3 linked regions of the Rattus norvegicus genome follow. The protein of the gene in region 3 purifies or fractionates together with the protein of the main gene of each other region. This does not show direct contact. Links are inferred from orthologs where the notes say so. Each region holds a gene or a part of one and is shown on either strand. Other genes may lie near its edges.

Region 1 (6,193 bases), on a different chromosome or scaffold from region 3:
TCTAACTCAGAGGGGCCCGAAGCTTCGCCGAGTCAGGCAAGCCATTTTCTAATAGGTTTGAAACTTTCCTAAGACACAGGAATAAACAGCCACAAGCCAGTGAGGCTGGGAGGTGGGCGAGCATGTGCAAGCCCAGGGCCCTGCCTTAAAACAATACAATCCCCCGGCGGGTGGGCGAATTTACGGATAGGACACCTCTCAGAGGAGGGGTGCGAGGACTCTGGGTGCAAGGTCTAGAGGAGAGGGGAGGAAGGCTCCTGGCTCTGCAGAGACTCACAGACCTCCACCTGCAGTTCGGGTCTCCACCCTGCGCCCTCGGCGCCTCCCAGGGACTCTGTCCATCCCCCGCCCCCGCCTGGGCGCAGCTAGATTTGGACCCCGAGCGCGGTCTCCCTGGCTGTTGCTGCTGCGGCTGCTGCGGCTGCTGCTGCTGCTGCTGCTGCTGCTGCGGCGGCGGCGGCGGCGGCGGCGGCGGCTGCAGGGAGGTGCAGGCAGGCTGGGAGGCTGGGAGGCGGGAGACGCCGGGGGACTTTGCAGCACGTTTCTGAATAAACTTTCCAATCGCAGGGGGTGCTGTTGCTGTATATTTTACGTAAAACTGAAAGTATCCCACGCCAGAGCGAAGCCCGCTTTTTGACAGCGGCAGCGCGCGCGCGCGTGTGCATTAAAGAGACAGGGGTTTATTTCCAACAGGTCTTTCTCTAATTTCCAGGGAAGGTCTGCAGAGGGGACCGAGGGGGGCCTCCGGGGTCCCGGGTGTGCGTGGTGGCTGCTGGCGCCTGGGCAGCGCGGCCGTGACCCGAGGGTCTCACCACCGTGGTTCCCCCCCGCAGCTCCTGCTAGCCAGTTTTCTTTCCTTTTCCCCATTTTCTCTTTCCCCGAGTAACAGCTTAGGAACAATTGTGTTCTGTCCGTAAGAAACATTTTTCTGTCCTTCGCTCAGTGCTTTCGCAGTGGCCCGGAGTGGGAGGGGGTGTGTCCCTCCCCGGGATCAGGCTCCGGGACCTCCCGCGGCGCGGCGAGCAGGTTCCCAGAGACCCGGGCTCCTGGGGCTACCCGTGCTTTGTCCTCGGGCCGCCGACTGCTCAGAGGTGGACGCTTGGGCGCCTCGAGCCCTGGCCCCGAGTGCTCCCATCTGGGGACTGAAACACACCCGGAATCTGGCTCCTCGGTCTCTGTATCTCGACCTTTCTGTTCCTGCAATCCTCGGGAGCTGGGGATTCAGGGCTTCAGTGGCATTCAGCCCCCGACTGTTTGTAGGGTCGCTCAGATCCCGGGTCCCTGACTTGGCCTTGGGGGCGCGCTCTCGGCCCTCGAGCCCAGGCCTGCGCCGCCAGCCTCGCCCCAACCGCCTCTCTCCAGGCGGCGTCGGCTTCTCCCCGGGCCCCGGCACTGGCCTTCCGGACACACGACCCTCCAAACTTGGGCTGGATTTCTCTCTCCAGCGCGCTCCCGCCCGTCTTCCCTAGCCCGCAGCAGAGCTCTTAACTTGGACGCTCAGCTCTCAACTTCGGGTGATTTTTTTTTTTTTCTTTCCTAGCTTTCACTGGGCAAAGTTTCTCGAGCGCTGCCACGAGCTCGGGGCTAGTACTCCGGTCCCCGGCGTCCCCTGGCGGGGAGGGGAAGTGGGTGTGCGAGCGGAGGAGGGTGTCCGGGACCTACTCTACCTGGTTTCCCTCCGCCCGCTCCTCTCTTGACTCTGGGCTTGCAGCGTCTTGGAGCACTCTGCCCCCACCCCCCACTTCAATAATTTTTCATTTTGGGGTCGGTGAGTGTGTGTGTGTGTCGGGGGGAGTGGAGCGGGGCGCAAGTCTTGCTCCCCCTCACTCCTCCCTCCCACCCGGCCGCCCCTTTCTTCTCTCCGGGCCACGCCACCGCCGCGGCGCTCGCTGCGGCCACTGGTGAGCCAGCCGCCCCAGAGCCCCCTCCCCTCTGCCCGCCCCTCCCCCCAGGGGCCGCGTCTGGCGTCTGCGGAGCCCCCCGCCCCGCACCTCCCCCGCCCCGCACTGGCCATTGGCTTGTCCTGGTCTCTTTTTCATGTCCAGCCCCTGATGTGTGTCCATTGGTGTGAGCTTCCCCTTCCCTCCTCCCCTTCTCTCCTGCTCGCCCTGCCCATGTTTTGTGTGTCTCTGTCCATCCAGACTCCTGACGTTCAAGTTCGCAGGGACGTCACGTCCGCACTTGAACTTGCAGCTCAGGGGGGCTTTTGCCATTTTTTTCATCTCTCTCTCTCTCTCTCCCTCTATCCCTCTTCTCTCTTCCTCTCTCTCTCTTTTTTTTTTCTTAAAAAAAAAAAAAAGCCATGACGGCTCTCCCACAATTCATCTTCCCTGCGCCATCTTTGTATTATTTCTAATTTATTTTGGATGTCAAAAGGCACTGATGAAGATATTTTCTCTGGAGTCTCCTTCTTTCTAACCCGGCTCTCCCGATGTGAACCGAGCCGTCGTCCGCACGCCGCCGCCGCCGCCGCCCGCCCGCCCCGCAGCCCACCATGTCTCGCCGCAAGCAAGGCAAACCCCAGCACTTAAGCAAACGGGAATTCTCGCGTAAGTAACCCAATAATAGTAATAATAATTATTAATAATCACGAGGGCGCGCGGGACGCTAAGCAAGAGTGAGGTTAAGAGAGGGGTGTGTGCATGCATTAAATTTTTTTCAGGTGAAAAACCTTCGGTAGTCGAAGTAAAAAGAGATTAAAAGGGAAAAAGCCCCTCATGCCCTCTCGAACGAGAACCGTGTGCACTTTTGAGACGGCACGCATCTTTTTAATTTTTATAAAAAAATTGACTCCTCCTCTTTCCTTCTCTCCGCCGCTTTATTCCTTCTTTGAAAAAGGAATGCAATGATTTCTACCCTAGTTTTGCAAAAATAATGAACAATGCTAAGGACGCGGACACTCACATGCAAACCTGGGGGTGGGAGCTTGAAGGAAAGGGGGTTGTTTCCACTTCACTATAGGAAAATGGAGGGGGGGGGAGGGAGGGAGTCAAGTCTGAAAAACAATTCCTGGGGAGAAAAGAGGTGAGACCGGCCTTAGGACGCCAACGTGTGCATGGTCAAGTGTGCAGTGGGAGGAAAGTAGTCACCCCCACAATAGTACGAAAGTGGGACTGTAGAAGAGAGCCGCTGGCGCTTCCCAGTCAGCCGAGTCCGGGGAGAGGGGCTGCAGCGGCTGGGAGGGCCGGGTGACCGGGAAGGACCGGAGTCGCGCCCGGCGCTGCCGTCTTTTGTTCCGGCCGGAGGTGGGTGTTTGTCCCGCCGCCTTTTGTGCGGGCTCCTCGCGCTTGCCCTCCTGCGCCGCCACCGCTGCCGAAGGGCAGGAGCAAGGGCCGAGCGAAGAGGCAGCCAGGGGCACGCGGTAGAGGGAGGGCGGGCGGGTGCAGGAGTCTCCGCTGCTGGGTTGCTGCTGCCCGCCCCTCCTGGGTGAGCCCTGAAGGAGACGAGGCGAAGATGCGCAAAATAAATAAAAAAAATTAATAAATTTAAGCAACGCAAGAGAATGTACAATTTCTTGCTCCCCCAAAGAAGCCAAACATTCTGCCAGTCGTATTTTTCACCTCTTTCCTGGATTCGTTCGCACCCCCACCCCTGCAGAAATTCCAGTCTTTAATAGAGAAAAGAGAGGGGGAAAAAAGAAAAGGAAAAAAAAAATCCCTGACACCCCTTCCCCCAAACCCCATCAAGTTGCAAACTTAGAACCCGGCGGCATGGAGAGGGAAGCGAGGAACTCCCTCCTCTTACTATTTTTTGGAAGATTTTCAAAAAAAGTGGAAGTGGATTTTGATTGGGAAAAATCTCGTGTCTGAATGTTTACAAGCACCGCGTGTGCGGGAGCCTCCTGCCAACAAACAGACAGAGGACCGAGCGCGCCGCGGCAGCCCTGGAGCAGGCGGCCGCAGCGGCTGGGCCTCGCCCGACCTCGCCGTGCCCTAGTCTGGAGTCGAGATCGCCCACCCGGCGCTCGCCGCCCACCCGCCAGGCAGGGCGGCAGGCCACGCTGCGACTCCGCCAGCCCGGCCTGCGCTCTGGTCCGCCCCTAGCACAATACCCAACCCTCCCACCGACCTCTCAGACAGCGAAAGCTGCTGGATGAAACTCGGTTTTGCAAAACATTTTTTTTTTTTTAATTTTGCAAAGCAACTGTAAAGGCGAGTTTTGCTAGTCCCTTCAACTGCACCCGGGGTACTCTTTTAGGTTCCTCTTGTCCTTAACTCTGGGGCCGTTGAGAGGTTACCACGTGCTTACAGCCCCCCCCCCCCAAATCTGGCCAGTAGCCTCTCGGACCAAAGCAGTTTCTTGGCTAGGTTGGGGAGGGGGCGGGGCAGGAGAAGTGTGTTGAGTGTGCATTTTGGGGGTGCAGGGTCCCCGCACTCAGTGAGCCTCACCTTTGGGTTCTTGCCCTCTACCCTGGGCCTGTCTTGGGCAGGGGTTTCTGTGAGTTTATGTAAAGTGTTAGTGGCGGTGACGATAATCTCTACTTGAGGTGTGCTGGGAGAGGCTGGTGGTGGGCACTTAGGAAAGTTTGAGTCCAGTAAGAAAAGACATAGAGCCTCCCCCCCAAGCCCCCCTTCAATTCCTTCTTTTTCACTCATGACTCTTATTTTTCGACGAAAGCTTGAAGGACCCCCATGTCTCTCCTGCATTTGTCGAGGGTGGGGTGCTCATTGGGAATTGAATATTTTTCCCTCTGGGCCCTGGAACTTGTCACACACTTCAGAAGCTCCCCCGCCCTGGCACGTTGCGGGGCCCTCCCTCTCCCCACCCCCGCGCATCTCTCCCTCGCCGCTCTCCCCCGCCCCCACTCCCACCGGCCGCGCCGGATACAGAGCAGACGCGGCGCGCGACGGTGTGAAGTTACAGCCCGGCCAGGTACCGGCGGGAAGGAAGGGCAGTGTTCGCAGGACTCGGGAAAGCCGGGACATTGGGACTTTCGGAAGGATGCCATGAGGGGCGAGAGGGACAGTGTGGGAGGCGCAGTCCGAGTTGCTCAGTACTCTCCTCCCACTTAGGTCTCTTCTGGGCCTCTCCAGGCTGGGAGGGCTAGTCTCGCTGTTGTCCCGGGAAGGACACTGGACTAGGAGGCCAGATGGAGGGGTATGTGCAGGGATCACGTCTTTCATTTTCTGGGTGCTTAGAGGGCAGGAGCCTGCCGGGTCCGTAGGACTTCCCCTCCACCCCCTCTACCCCCCCACCCCCGCCCCCAGCCCCGTCCTCAGCTACGTGGACTGAATGAGCCATTTGGTCGCTAGGAGGCAGAACAAGATCAAGAAAAGCTCCACGAACTTGAACCTGTACCAGAGCCTACCCCACCCCCTGCCCGGCGTTTCTCGGCGGGGGAGGGACGAGCGTTGGGAGAGTGGGGGTGGGGGGCAACGAACGGTTAGGCTGAATTCCCTTTCTCCACCCCCCATTACCCCTTAGGTCTTTGTTCTTCATTTTGACTTAAAAAAATGCTTTTGGCTAGGGCCGTGGAGAAGCGCTGGGGCGCGCAGCCGACACCCCCACGTGCGAGAGGACCCGGGAGCTCCCGGCGGGGAGCCGGGTGCACGCTGGGGTCCTTTCTGGGAAGGCATTTTTGGTGGCGAGGGATGGAGAGTGTTCTCTCGAGTTTAGGGGCACGGCCGAACACAGGGATGTGGCAAGTTTGCCCTTGGCTTCTAGGTTCACTTTTTTTCCACCCCCATCCCCGCGCAGAGCGCAGGTCTCTGCGGCCACCGCAGGCTTACCGGACGGCTTGGCAACCCAACGCTCCCCCTCCCCGCCTCCTGCAGCTCTCGCCTGGAAGCCCGAAATCACAACAATAGTAATAGTTATCATCATAATGATGCGGGCTAGCAGCGTCATTAATAATGAATAACCGCGGTCGCCGCCTGGCGCGCACACGGTGCCCGGAATTGCGGGCGAAACACATTTGCACAGATCCTCCAAAGTAAAAGTGTTAGCCTGTGCACACAGAATGAATTTCAGGACCCGCGCTCGGGGTGTGCGCGGGGAAGCCAAGACTCGATCAGGTTGTCCGGCTCAGTTTTCCAAAAACCTTACTTCCTTTTTCCAACAACTGGCCGGTTCCGGGAACCGGCTCTCGGCGGCTGCCGGGCTGCAGGGGTGTGGAGGCGGCAGCCGAGTCCCCGGGCCACCCGCCGCCTCCAGGCTGGGACTGCGGGCCCCGAGGCCGCTGCTGCACGTGTTC
Region 2 (5,847 bases), on a different chromosome or scaffold from region 3:
TTCTTGTCTGCCTCTCAAATGTCTCCCTTTAAATTTAGGGTTCACTTAGGCAATCCAGATAGATCTCAGAAACTTCAGTCACTATCACTGCAGCTTAACATGGTTATTCGTTGGGGCTCACTCTTCAGCCTGACATACACAGCACATGAAGCACACACCCTAAACACAGACATACAAATAGGAACCTAGAGGTATAAGCCAGAAACAGTGAAACGACACCCAGACATGCTTGAATATGTACAAACACACTTGCAGGTTTGGCCAGACAAGGGTATGTATAAAGTTTTGTAACATCCCCATCTGCACAGATATAATTACCCAAGCGCACAAATGCTAGTGCATAATCACCCACTAACACTAGAAGTGCCATACCACATGGTGCATATGAGTGCACTACATTGTAAGACTTCTTGACACTTAAATATGCACACCTATACACACACACACACACACACACACACACACACACACACAATTACAGGGAGGTGGGGCTGGAGAGAGAATACAGTTGCTGCTCTTGCAGAATTGAGTTTCCAGCACCCTCCTCAGGCAGCTCACAACTGCCGGTAGCTTCAGGGGATCTAATGCCCTCGTCTACATTATGATGCCCACGCATGACCACCACCTGATAACACATGGCCACTTAGACACATAACAACCTATGGACGTTGGTAGATCACATTTGTGAAAACTCATATTTACACAGGGAATGCTGACAACCTTGAACGCAGCACCTCAAGGTATGCACACTGATCTCCACCAACATTCTGATGTTCCACATCCTGGGAGAATCACAGAAGGTGACACATGCCTTTAATCCCGGCATATGGGAGGCAGAGACAGGCAGATCTCTGAATTTGATGCTGGCCTGGTCTACAAAGGGCTACACAGTGAAACCCGTTTGAAAAAACAGTGGGGGCGGGGCTGGGGGGGGCAGGTGACAATGTTATGACTTCCAAATGAAAGCTGAATTTTTCTCTTCTCTATCGAGTGCTCCTGTGGAGCCCCAGACTTGGCACTCTACTTCCTTATCAGCCAGCCTGCTCCCCCCTAGTCTGTCAAAGGGGTGTTTACTTCTCTGCTTCATTTATTCCCAAGTCCTGTGGGCTGGGATGCCATTCACCACCACCGTCCAGTCCAGATCCTACCCTAGCTCTGGGCCAGAGAAGCTCGGTACTGGCTGTTGGTCTAGGACCACTGTTCACAAAGGGAGAAGTTGATTCAATAGCTAGTAACGCCAATAAAGCCTATTGGTCTTAACAGTGTCTAGATTGACTAAGGTGGCCTCAGGGACAGATAGAGGCTGAGGTACGCCCTGACAGCCTATGGATGTCCTGTAACTCTTCATAGGATCTACTTCAGCTAGCGCAACCACACAGCTTGCTTAGTCTGTGAGACATGATCTGGGGTAGTGTCCAGAGTTCCTGACGTGCCTCAGTTTACTGGACTGTCTACAAAGCGACTCCTGCCCTAGGCGCGAGTGACAGATCTCTTGGCCCTGGAGGCGAGTACCACCTAGTCTACGGATCTCTCCGTGGAGCGGCAGACCGGCCCCACTGGCCCCTTCCCCGCAGCGCCGGCCGCGTGAATACCGCGAGAGTTCGCCCCCTCCCCCCCACCCCACCCCCCCGCGCAGTAAAACTGTCAAAGGTAGGAGGGGCGGGAGCGCGCATGTGCGCAGCACGGCGCGCAGTGTGCGCCGCCCGGACCCCGCGCCCCGCGCCCCGCGCCCCGGCCCGGCTCTGGCTCCGGCCTTGCCCGGCCGCACCCCTTGGGCGCGCTGCAGGTAAGCGCCGGCACTGCCTGCTCTACCGCGGTCCCGGCGCCACCCGCGCCCCGCACCAGCCCTGTGCCCCGCCCGCCTCCCCGCCGCGCCCGGACCCGCGCCGCGCCCCACTCCCCGCGTCGGCGCCGTCCTCCCGCCTCCTCCTCCAGAAAAAGTCGCCATTTTGGTTCACTGCCTTCGCCCCCCCGCGGTCGGCGCTTCCGGGCCAGGCTGCAGCCCGTGTCCGGCCTCAGGTGACAGGTGGGTGGCCACGGGCCTCCAGGTGCGCCTCTTGGCTGCGCTCGCCAGGCCAGGCGGAGTGGCCTGAGTCGGTGGTAGCGTCCTCTTCCCTGGAGGATACAAGGGAGATCTCAGGGACCCCAGGTGGAGGAGGGGTTTCCTCCTACTCTGGCGACCAGGCCTTACCCCTAATTCTGATCTCTGAAAGACTGGAATGTTGCAGCAGGCCGTATACCCCGGGCCTCAAATGTAGTCGGGGTTCTGGATAACTCATTTCCTTCTGAAGCTGCAAAACGAGGATATCCCGAGAACTTTGGTTGACCTAAGACCCTCCTCCCCTCCCCTAGGCCCAGGATGTTGCCCTTGGCAATGGACAGTGATTGTCCTGACCTCTGACCTTAGCACTTTTGGATATAGCAGCCCCTACCCAACCACACTGATTTGAGTTGATCAAAAACTGTTAAGAGAAGGCTCACCTGCTTGAACCTTGCTCTTTGGTACCGCCCCCTTCTGTGGGTTTGGGTGCCTCTGAGAGGCCTCAACATGCTGTGCTCAGAGCCTTCCTCAGTTTTCAGGGTATGTGGTGCTTCGAGCAGAACAGTCCCTGGAGGCCCAACCCCAGGGCAGCAGCATGCATATTCTATAGCCTCTGCTTGCCAGTACTGGCTATAACTTGTTTAGCCGAAGTTGCTTCCTAGGCCAGGAACCTAGAAGCTATTGAAAATAGCAAGAAATGGTGGCTGCTAGGCTGTGGTGGTTCAGGGGCTGACCTGGTGCCTTCATCTGGGGGGGAAGGGGCCCTGGCTGCACAGAAGGTTGAGAAGGCAGGCAGGTAGGATGGCTCAGCAAGCATGGGGACCAAAATATATTTCTAGTGAGTATATTTCACTTTACCAACCAGAGAGGCAGGAGCATGTGGTGGGGAAGTGGCTCCTGTGCCTGTGGAGAGGTCTTCAAGGGTGCTTATCTGGGTGCTCAGCCATCCCTGAGGTGGATGATGTGGCTGCCTGTGAGCCAGCAACCATTACTAGTGTTAATTGTCCCCTATGAGGAATATTATCAGTCTCGCTCAATTGCATGGGCCCCTTGTGAACACAGGCCCCACCTGATCCTCAGCACCCTTTGGTCTCATGTGTCTAGATGAGGGTGTAGGTGAGTGTGTCAAATGGAGTAGGGTCTCTGCTCTTGTACGCTGCTCAAGCCTTCTGGGTTATTTAGAAAGACCTTGTCTGTGCAACCCCTCTCTAAGTTAGAAGCTTAAGTCACTTGTGTTTTGATGCGAAAGATACAGGAGGTCAGGCCTAGACAGTCATATTGGGGGCCTCTAGGATAACCCCAGTGGAGGCCTGGGTTGAGCCTATTCATCTCATAGGTCTGTACTTACTCTGCAGAGATGACGGAATCTTTCTGTGTTGGAGGAGGCCGTCGGCTTCAAGGATCCAGCAAAAGTGGACCTGGAAAGGGAGGCAGCCGGAAGGAGGTCCAGCTTCCCTTGTTGCAGGACCCACCAAAGCTGGGTGAGGAGCTAAGGCAGAAATCAGTTGTAGAGGGTACAGACAGTCAGTGGTAGAGTTACCTCCTTGGGCAGCCTGAGGACCTGTGTGGGCTGGAGATTGTTAGCCTGTTGTAGCCAGGCTCTTGACCTAGTCCCTGGGCCTTGATATGGGTGAGCCAAGACTCAGTCTGGGCTTCCTGCCCCTTGGGGTTCGGAGATATTGTGCAGCCACTGAGCCTTGCTGTCTCCTGTACTATAGGGATGCCAGTGGTCCACAGTGGACATACAGTGCCTAGCCAGGCCCCACTCTGCTTTGACCCCGGAAACTCAGCCAGTGACAAGACAGAAGGGAAGAAAAAAGGGAGGCCGAAAGCCGAGAACCAAGCTCTCCGAGATATTCCTGTGAGCTCCCTGAGGGTTAGAGTGGGGATCATTCTATTGAGTCTGTGAAGGCCACTTCCATGTCCTTACCAGCCCTCCATACATCCTGTGCCAGTTTGTCTCAGCATGTACCCTAGGGCCCTTGCGTCTGTTACCAAGTCCCAGTGGGCTGTTAGTAGTCACCAGCATAGGTCTGCAGCATGGCTTGAATTCTTGGTCTGCTCTTGAGGTTGAAGGGCTTATTTGGCTTGGGGGAGCTGTGAGTCTGGGTAGCTACAGGTCAGCAGCTTGGCCTTTTCCTCTGCCCAGCTCTCTCTGATGAACCAGTGGAAAGATGAATTCAAGGCACACTCAAGGGTGAAGTGTCCAAACTCAGGGTGCTGGCTAGAGTTCCCCAGCATCTATGGGCTCAAGTACCACTATCAGCGGTGCCAAGGGGTAAGGGGCTGTGGGTCAGGGAAGAGGAGGCCTGGGGGTGCATCTGGGCAGAGGCCCCCGGGGCCCCATCCCACACCTGCCCTCCCTGCCCAGGGCGCTATCTCAGATAGGCTGGCCTTCCCTTGCCCCTTCTGCGAGGCCGCATTCACCTCCAAGACCCAGCTGGAGAAGCACCGGATTTGGAATCACATGGACCATCCCCTACCTGCCCCCAAGCCTGGCCCAGTCAGCCGGCCAGTCACCATCAATCGGCCTGTTGGGGTCAGCAAGCCCATCGGAGTGAGCAAACCTGTTACTGTTGGCAAACCAGTGGGAGTCAGCAAGCCCATTGGCATCAGTAAGCCAGTCACAGTTAGTAGGCCTATACCAGTCACCAAGCCTGTCACAGTCAGTAGGCCCATGCAAGTCTCTAGGCCTGTGCCAGTCACCAAACCCATCCCAATCACCAAACCTGTGCCACTCACCAAACATATGCCAGTTACCAAGCTTGTGACAGTTTCAAAACCTGTGCCACTCACCAAGCCAGTACCAGTCAGCAGGCCCATTGTGGTCAGCAAGCCTGTGCCGGTCAGCAGGCCCATCGCCATCAGCAGACACACACCACCCTGCAAAATGGTGTTGCTGTCCAAATCTGAGAACAAAACACTTCGTGCTACAGGCAAGAACAGCAATAAGAAAAGGTACAGGAAGTCATTTGAGGTGGTGAGTTGTCATGTGTGCCTTGAGGGGGTGAGAGGGCTACTGGGTTTGCCTGGACCTCACCTTGCCTGCCACTTACAGGGCTGCAGACAGTTTGGACACCTGCCCCATCCTGCCCAAGCAGGCCAGGCAGGAGAATGGAGAGTATGGCCCATCCACTGTGGACCAGAGTGTGACCTTCCAACTGAGTACAGATCCTAGCAACAGCTCCCTGCTGCCAGGCAGCAGGCCCCTGATGGGCAAAGAGGCATTGCGGCCTATAGGTCCAGTGTCCCAGCCAGAGGAGGACCCTGAGCGCACAAAGCACAGTAAGACAAGAGCCCTGGGGAGACTGGCCATGATGGGCTCTGGCCTTTCAATGACTATGTGACCAGGGTCTTGGCACTCATTTTCTCTCCCCTGAGTCAGGAAGGAAGCAGAAAACACCGAAGAAATTCACAGGGGAGCAGCCATCTATCTCAGGGACCTTTGGGCTCAAAGGTAAGACCCCAGCTAACTGAACACTCCTGGAACTGAGGATGTCAGTAGTTGGCCCATGTATCTTATCCATCCTCTATGTGCACACAGGCCTGGCCAAAGCTGAAGACAAGGCTCGAGTTCATCGCTCCAAGAAGCAAGAGGGATCAGGCTCTGAGGAAGTGCGGAAGAAGGTGCTGGCCACCCCTGTTACTGTCAGCAAGGAGGCACCAACTCCTGTGGCCCACCCAGCCCCAGGTGGGGGCTGCCTGGCAGGACCCAGGACAGGTCTCCATGGTGGGCTGGATCCTGTAGCAAAGGCATGGGGGATGCCCCTGGAGTCCAGGGCATTCAGGAGCCCCACAAGCCTGAG
Region 3 (6,061 bases):
AAGCAGAGGGGCTAATGTGGAGGGAAATGGAATTGGAATTGTACACATAGGAACAATCCAGTAAGTAGGTAAACTACACTTTCACACTGTCTCTTTTCCAACAAGAACTCAAGGGAGTTGAAAAATGGACCAGGCATTGTGGTGCATGCCTTTAATTCCTGAACTTGAGAGGCAGAGGTAGGTGGCTAGATTTCTGTGAGTTCAAGGCCAGCCTGATCTACATAGTGAGTTCCAGGCCAGCCAAGGCTACATAGGAAGACTGTGCCTCAAAATACAACATTAAGGAAAAAGAATGATGCACTAAGAAGACTTTGCTTTGGGATAGCTTCTTAGGGCAAGTGTATGGGGATGGGGTACTTTATTTAAGAAGGAGAAGCTGATGAGAAACTGTCAGTACTTTATCCAGAGTTTGAGGCAGGAATGGAAAGTTCCAGGGATGCCTAGGCTAGCTTCTCTGTTTCTGAGACAGGGTTCCCTCTGTCACCTGGCTGTCCTGGAACTCACTTTGTAGACAAGAGTGGCTCTCAACTCAGAGATTGGTCTGCCTCTCTAGTACTCAGATTAAAGGCATGTACCACTATGCAGGGCTAGCTCAAAGCCAAACCAAATCAAACAGCTTCAGTGTGAACTTAGGAAGCACACAATGGGGGTCATAATGGACACTGTACCTATGATCAGTTCACATTCTCTGAGGGAAGAGTGACAGCTGAGTAGGGACAATTTCCACCTAGGGGATGTGGCTGGAGGCTGCAAGCTGCTAAGGAATCGCTACGAAAGCAGAGACCGTGAGTGGGCCACCTATACCTGTGTGCTGGGCTTCCACGTCTATGGTGAGCCAGAATCCGGATCCCTTTAGGAGGGCTGGGGAAACAAGGAGGAACCCATTCCGGGCTCAGAATACTGGGTGTGTGCCACCCTCTGGGTGGGGGTCATGGCGGCAAATCCAGGTCAGGCGGCCCCTTGGGACTGGAAGGATTGTCTGGATCACACAGTGGCAACCTGAAAACACTGCAGCTCTAGGTTGTGGGTAGCAGCCTGGCTCAGGCTACCTGTTGTGTTAGGTGTGTGGCCTGATGGCTCTGACGGGACAGACATCAACTCCCTTTGCCGCTCCCACAATGAACGGGTGGTGGCCGTGGCAGACGACTTCTGCAAAGTACACCTCTTTCAGTACCCATGCGCTCGAGCCAAGGTGAGGCCTCGGGACCACTGGGCCCAGGAGGGTAGGTTTGGGACCCTGCCATTGCTGCAACTGTTTCTTTTTTTCTCATCTAGGCTCCAAGTCGTATGTACTCAGGCCATGGCAGCCATGTGACTAGTGTCCGGTTCACACACGACGACTCATTCCTTGTCTCCTTAGGTGGCAAGGATGCTAGCATCTTTCAGTGGCGAGTGCTGGGGGCAGGGAGCTCTGGACCCGCTCCTGCCACGCCATCTAGAACTCCCTCTCTGTCCCCTGCCTCCTCCCTGGACGTGTGATTGATGCCGGAAGGTCTTGTCCTTCTGGTACTGTGGTCTGGCCCCACCCTGGCCAAAACCCCTAGGACCAAGGACAGTCTTTTCCTGGGCTGGCTTTTTCTTTGACTTAATACATTCCCAATTGCGCATTTTCCTGGAGGGGTGAACCACCCCATTGCACACAATAACAGACTTGCTGGTTGAGCCGGGCAATTCAACTCTGACACTCTGCCCGGTGAGGGGCAATAAAAAGAAAAAAGTCACTGCCTGGTACTTCTGTGCGGCGGGTCCCTCAGGGGCCCAGTTGTGTTAGAATGAAAGAAAAAAGTGCAGGGCGGGAAGAGAAAAGGGAGCTCAGACCAAATATGCAAATAACAGGCAAAGCGGCTTGCAAATAACTTTAAGATGCGTGAGGGCGCGCGCGCGCCCGCCCTAGGCGCCACCGTCGGAGTTGCTAGGACCCATAGTGCAAAGAGTTAATTCTAGCTCCCCCACCGCCCTCGAGGGCGGGGTCGAGCTGTAACGGAAATAACCGAGCGCGGGGCCGCGGCTGAGCGAAAGGAGCCGAGTTCCTTCCGGAAGTGGCCGATCGGTGGGGTCTTGCTCTCCGACCTGAGCCGAGAGCTGGGCCTTGTTCTCCGGATCGGCCGAAGGTGTTCCGGAAGGAGGCGAACCCGGACGCGGGCAGGGCAAACCTTCCCAGCGGTTGGCACCACACGACGTCTGCTGGGACTCGGTGAGGACGCTAGGAGCCGGAACCTGACTCCGGTCAGGCAGGAACCGAGCTCGTTCCGGAAGAAGGCGAGCAGACCGGAGCCGGCCTCGGTATCCCGGCGTGAGGCTATAGCAGCGTTGTCGTCGCGCGGGCAGTGATGAACCGCGACGGCTGAGTGAGCAGAGGTGCCGGCTGCTCGGGCCCCATCGACACTTCCGCGAAGCGTCAGCCCCGCGCTGGGGGCTTCGTCTGGAGCTGAGCTTTGCCCCCGCGAGCCTCCCGGACCTCTTTGTGTGGCCGGAGGCGGCGGCGGGAACGGCCATGGCGGCTAACATGTACCGGGTAGGAGGTGAGTACCCTGGGCGGAAAAGGCTGAGGCCGGGACCAGGGAGACTCGGTGTCCGTAAGCGCGGGGGAGCCACATCTGGGGTTGTACGGGCCGCGGCACCGACCGGAACCGGAACCGAGCTGTGGTTCCGCGGCGGCGACGCTGTCGGGCTCAGAGTCTACCGCAGAGACATACCTGCAGCCGTAACGGTGCTCTGAGATCCGCGACTTGATCGCTGGGCTGGAAGTGGCCTTGGAAGGCGCCGGAGTGACCACCGGGCCAGCCGTTGGAGAGGCAGGCGCGCAGGGTTTTTCTTTTCTGTGGCGTCTTGTGTGTTCACCAAGGTGGGGCCTGAACAGTTTACTCAATTCTCCGATACAGGGGTTCAACTTCAGTGCAAAGTTCTTTGGACTCCAGGGAAGCCCCTGTTCTTATCTCTTAAGTCCCACTTTTGAGTGAAGATCTGACTTTAGAATTGGTTGTTGCAGGTGTAGGGGGTAAAAACTCATTTCCTCCTCTTTTCCTTGTTCTTTCTAGACAAGGTTTCTTCTCTGGGTAGCCTTGGCTGTCCTGGAACTTATACTGTAGACCAGGCTGGCCTCGAACTCAGAGATCCGCTTGCCTCTGCCTTCTGACTGCTGGAACTAAAGGTGTGTGGCACCACCGCCTGGCAAAGTATTTCCATAATCTCTTTTTCTTCCTTTCTTCCTTTCATCCTCCCTTCCTTCCTTCCCCCTCCCCCACCCCCTTTTTTTCTCTCTCTTTCCTTTTTGAGGCAGATTTCTTTTTTCCTTGTTTCTTTCTAGACAAGGTTTCTCTGTGTAGCCCGGTCTGTCCCAGAACTGTGAGTTGTAGAACTGACTGGTTATGAAGCAAGAGATCCTCCTGCCTCGGCCTCCCAGAGTGTTGGGATTAAACGCGTATGCCACTGCTGTCCAGCTAATGGCGAATACTTATTTTCTTAAATGTCTTCTCGCACATCTCCACTTCATCTCCACTTCATCTCCACTTCATCGCTACCTAGAATTTTGTCTCTTTTTGGTGCACACAGACCGACTTTCTCTTCTGGGTACTCTCCTCTGATCATCTTGTTTCTTCCCCACCCCCTTCTACAGATTATGTCTATTTTGAGAACTCCTCCAGCAATCCTTACCTGGTTAGACGGATTGAGGAGCTCAATAAGGTGAGTGAAGCTTTTTTTTTTTTTTAAAGATACAGGATACAGGGTCTCTCTATTATGTAACCTTGGCTGCCAGGAACTTGCTGTGTAGACCAGGCTGATCTTAAACTCATGGAGACCCTTTTCATTGGTCCTGAAATTATCTTTGAATTTTGTCTTCATGTTAAGTCTTTCCGTCTCTTCTACGTAGATCCTTAGGGAGATACTGCTGTTGTTGGACTCTGTGTACCTTCACTTTCAAATGGCCAGTTTTCCTCGTCATGTTTTTCTCCCTCCTTTAGACTGCAAACGGAAATGTGGAAGCAAAGGTTGTCTGCCTTTTCCGGCGAAGGGATATTTCTAGTAGCCTCAACAGCTTGGCGGACAGCAATGCTAGTGAGTGCTTCCATGCGTTACCCCTCTTCCTCTCTCCCCAGGATCTGAGGACTAGACATGTTCCTGCAGGTGTTTCCCCTGGTAGCAGGCCCAAGGCAGGGCGTGAGTTTGGGGGTGGAAGTGCCTGGTGTGCGGAGGGAGGCCTGTTGTTACTTGTTGGGGTTGGAAGCAGGGCGGGCAGACCATGATAAGGAAAGCCAGAGTGTGGCTTCTGTGTGGAGATATTTAGATAGGAAATGAAAGGAGCTTTAGAGAAGCAGGCACTTGGGGACATTTTGGGACAGCGGTTAGTGAGGCACTGGGGACATTGTGGGGACTTTGGGACGGTGGTTAGTGAGTGATGGTCAAGGTGAAGGTTTTGAGAAACCTGCAGAACAGGCAGGAGGCTTATGCTGTAGTGGGAGTGATGGAGGTGATAGGAAGCTAGGAGAAGTTCTTGAGCTTTCCTGCCTTCTTTTTCCTCTCCATTCCAACCTTACTGCTTTTTGCTTTGTCTGCATTTTCTCTGTGATCTCTATCTTTTTTTTGCTTAGTTTCTTTTAACTCCTTTCTTCTTCCTAGATTCTTTTTCAGGCCATAGTCGTGAAAGGGTTAATGAGCTGTGCCTACCAAGTTTCTAGGCCCTTTGGGGTTTCCAGCCCCATCTGGCAGGGGCTGACCTTGGCCTTATCCAATCATAAGGAGTGGGGGTGTGGTCCTTCTTGCCCTAGCCCTGGGTTTCCCAGAGTATACACACAGAGACAACCCCCCCCCCCCCCCCCCCGCAATGTACCCCCAACTTTTCAGGGGAACAATGCATCGACAAACATGTGCCTACATTTTCTGTCCTCTTCCACTTTGGTTGGCACTTAGCCAGGTTAACTGTTTCTACCAAGACTTCAGTGTGAGCTGCTGCCTCTTGGTGAGGAAGGTGTTGGCACTGGTTTCAGAGTTGCTCTTCTTGAAAGCCCACAAACTATTATTAGCCAAGTAGAGCGAGAAAGAGCATAAGGTTGCGTGTGATGTTTCAGACACAGCAACTAGTTCTGAAGTGTGGCAAGCTGGTGAACAGGCAGCAACCATGTGTGCTATTTTTACTTCTTAACTGGGTTTTAGGACCTTGGGCTGGTTGTGCAAGAAAGAGTTGATGTGACATCACACTGTGTCACGGCTTCGTTTGTGCTTTCTGTGTGGCATCAGTATTGGCAGCTAGGCTTGAGTGCACGTCCGTGGCACCAGTGTGCTCTCACATTAGAAGGATGTGATACTTCCTTTGATGGAGTTAAAGAGAGGACTGAACATCCACACTGAGGTATAAGCCAGAAGGAAAGGCTGGTGGGGTAAGAGTGAGGCCCGAGGAAGGTGAGGTACAGCAGCTGAGGTAGGGTGGCCTGGCCTGGCCAGCTGTTCAAGGTGCCTGTTTTCTTTTTTTTTTTTTTTGGTTCTTTTTTTCGGAGCTGGGGACCGAACCCAGGGCCTTGCGCAAGGTGCCTGTTTTCTGAGTTAGTTTCTGACTTGGTTTCTTCCTCAACATTTTAGGGGAGTTTGAGGAGGAATCAAAACAGCCAGGGGTCTCGGAGCAGCAGAGACATCAACTGAAGCACCGAGAGCTTTTTCTTTCTCGGCAGTTTGAATCATTACCGGCCACCCACATAAGGTATAGGACGATCAGGGTCACTGTGGCCTACGTGCCCTCATTTAAAAGATGGAGAGAAGAGGAGTAGTGTATTGAGATGGTAGATAAGAAGGGATGCGTCGCTCATTCAGGACTTTTTGGGTCTGTCTTTTTTTCTTAGGGGGAAGTGCAGTGTGACTCTCTTGAACGAGACGGATATCTTAAACCAATATCTGGAAAAGGAGGTGAGGAGGTATTAAGAGAAGAGGGAGGTGAGGAAATGTTGCCTCCTAAAGGCTTAGACAGGTGAAGAGGTAAAGGACCTCAGCAGGGAAGTCTGGGTAGACCCACTTTTCAGTGGACTCCTTCCCACCAACCTCCTCTCTTCCCCTTCAGGACTGCTTTTTTTAC

What was found.
Region 1: the proteins of Mta2 (region 3) and Bcl11a purify together in Homo sapiens (affinity purification with mass spectrometry; 4 studies listed by BioGRID and IntAct, with this or other methods). This does not show direct contact. The link is inferred for Rattus norvegicus from reciprocal best matches to the Homo sapiens genes MTA2 and BCL11A.
Region 2: the proteins of Mta2 (region 3) and Zfp512b purify together in Homo sapiens (affinity purification with mass spectrometry; 3 studies listed by BioGRID and IntAct, with this or other methods). This does not show direct contact. The link is inferred for Rattus norvegicus from reciprocal best matches to the Homo sapiens genes MTA2 and ZNF512B.

The regions. Positions count from the first base shown.
Region 1 is NC_086032.1:102,229,428-102,235,620, forward strand, and holds the start of Bcl11a (B-cell lymphoma/leukemia 11A), read left to right. Parts: upstream 1-2,252; 5' UTR 2,253-2,494; coding exon 2,495-2,549; intron 2,550-2,799; exon of another isoform or gene 2,800-3,433; intron 3,434-3,744; exon of another isoform or gene 3,745-4,721; intron 4,722-4,727; exon of another isoform or gene 4,728-4,872; intron 4,873-4,881; exon of another isoform or gene 4,882-5,097; intron 5,098-5,443; exon of another isoform or gene 5,444-5,959; coding exon of another isoform or gene 5,960-6,014; intron 6,015-6,193. UniProt on the Homo sapiens protein: Transcription factor. Associated with the BAF SWI/SNF chromatin remodeling complex. Binds to the 5'-TGACCA-3' sequence motif in regulatory regions of target genes, including a distal promoter of the HBG1 hemoglobin subunit gamma-1 gene.
Region 2 is NC_086021.1:189,071,387-189,077,233, reverse strand, and holds the start of Zfp512b (zinc finger protein 512B), read left to right. Parts: upstream 1-2,026; intron 2,027-3,390; exon of another isoform or gene 3,391-3,396; coding exon of another isoform or gene 3,397-3,398; coding exon 3,399-3,522; intron 3,523-3,759; coding exon 3,760-3,902; intron 3,903-4,190; coding exon 4,191-4,319; coding exon of another isoform or gene 4,320-4,412; coding exon 4,413-4,999; intron 5,000-5,099; coding exon 5,100-5,326; intron 5,327-5,426; coding exon 5,427-5,498; intron 5,499-5,585; coding exon 5,586-5,732; coding exon of another isoform or gene 5,733-5,771; intron 5,772-5,847. UniProt on the Homo sapiens protein: Involved in transcriptional regulation by repressing gene expression. Associates with the nucleosome remodeling and histone deacetylase (NuRD) complex, which promotes transcriptional repression by histone deacetylation and nucleosome remodeling.
Region 3 is NC_086019.1:215,265,175-215,271,235, forward strand, and holds the start of Mta2 (metastasis-associated protein MTA2), read left to right. Parts: upstream 1-2,111; 5' UTR 2,112-2,494; coding exon 2,495-2,522; intron 2,523-3,616; coding exon 3,617-3,684; intron 3,685-3,962; coding exon 3,963-4,056; intron 4,057-5,574; coding exon 5,575-5,692; intron 5,693-5,831; coding exon 5,832-5,895; intron 5,896-6,046; coding exon 6,047-6,061. Other genes in the region: Eml3 (echinoderm microtubule-associated protein-like 3), read left to right, coding at 732-830, 1,062-1,192, 1,276-1,479. UniProt on the Homo sapiens protein: May function as a transcriptional coregulator. Acts as a component of the histone deacetylase NuRD complex which participates in the remodeling of chromatin.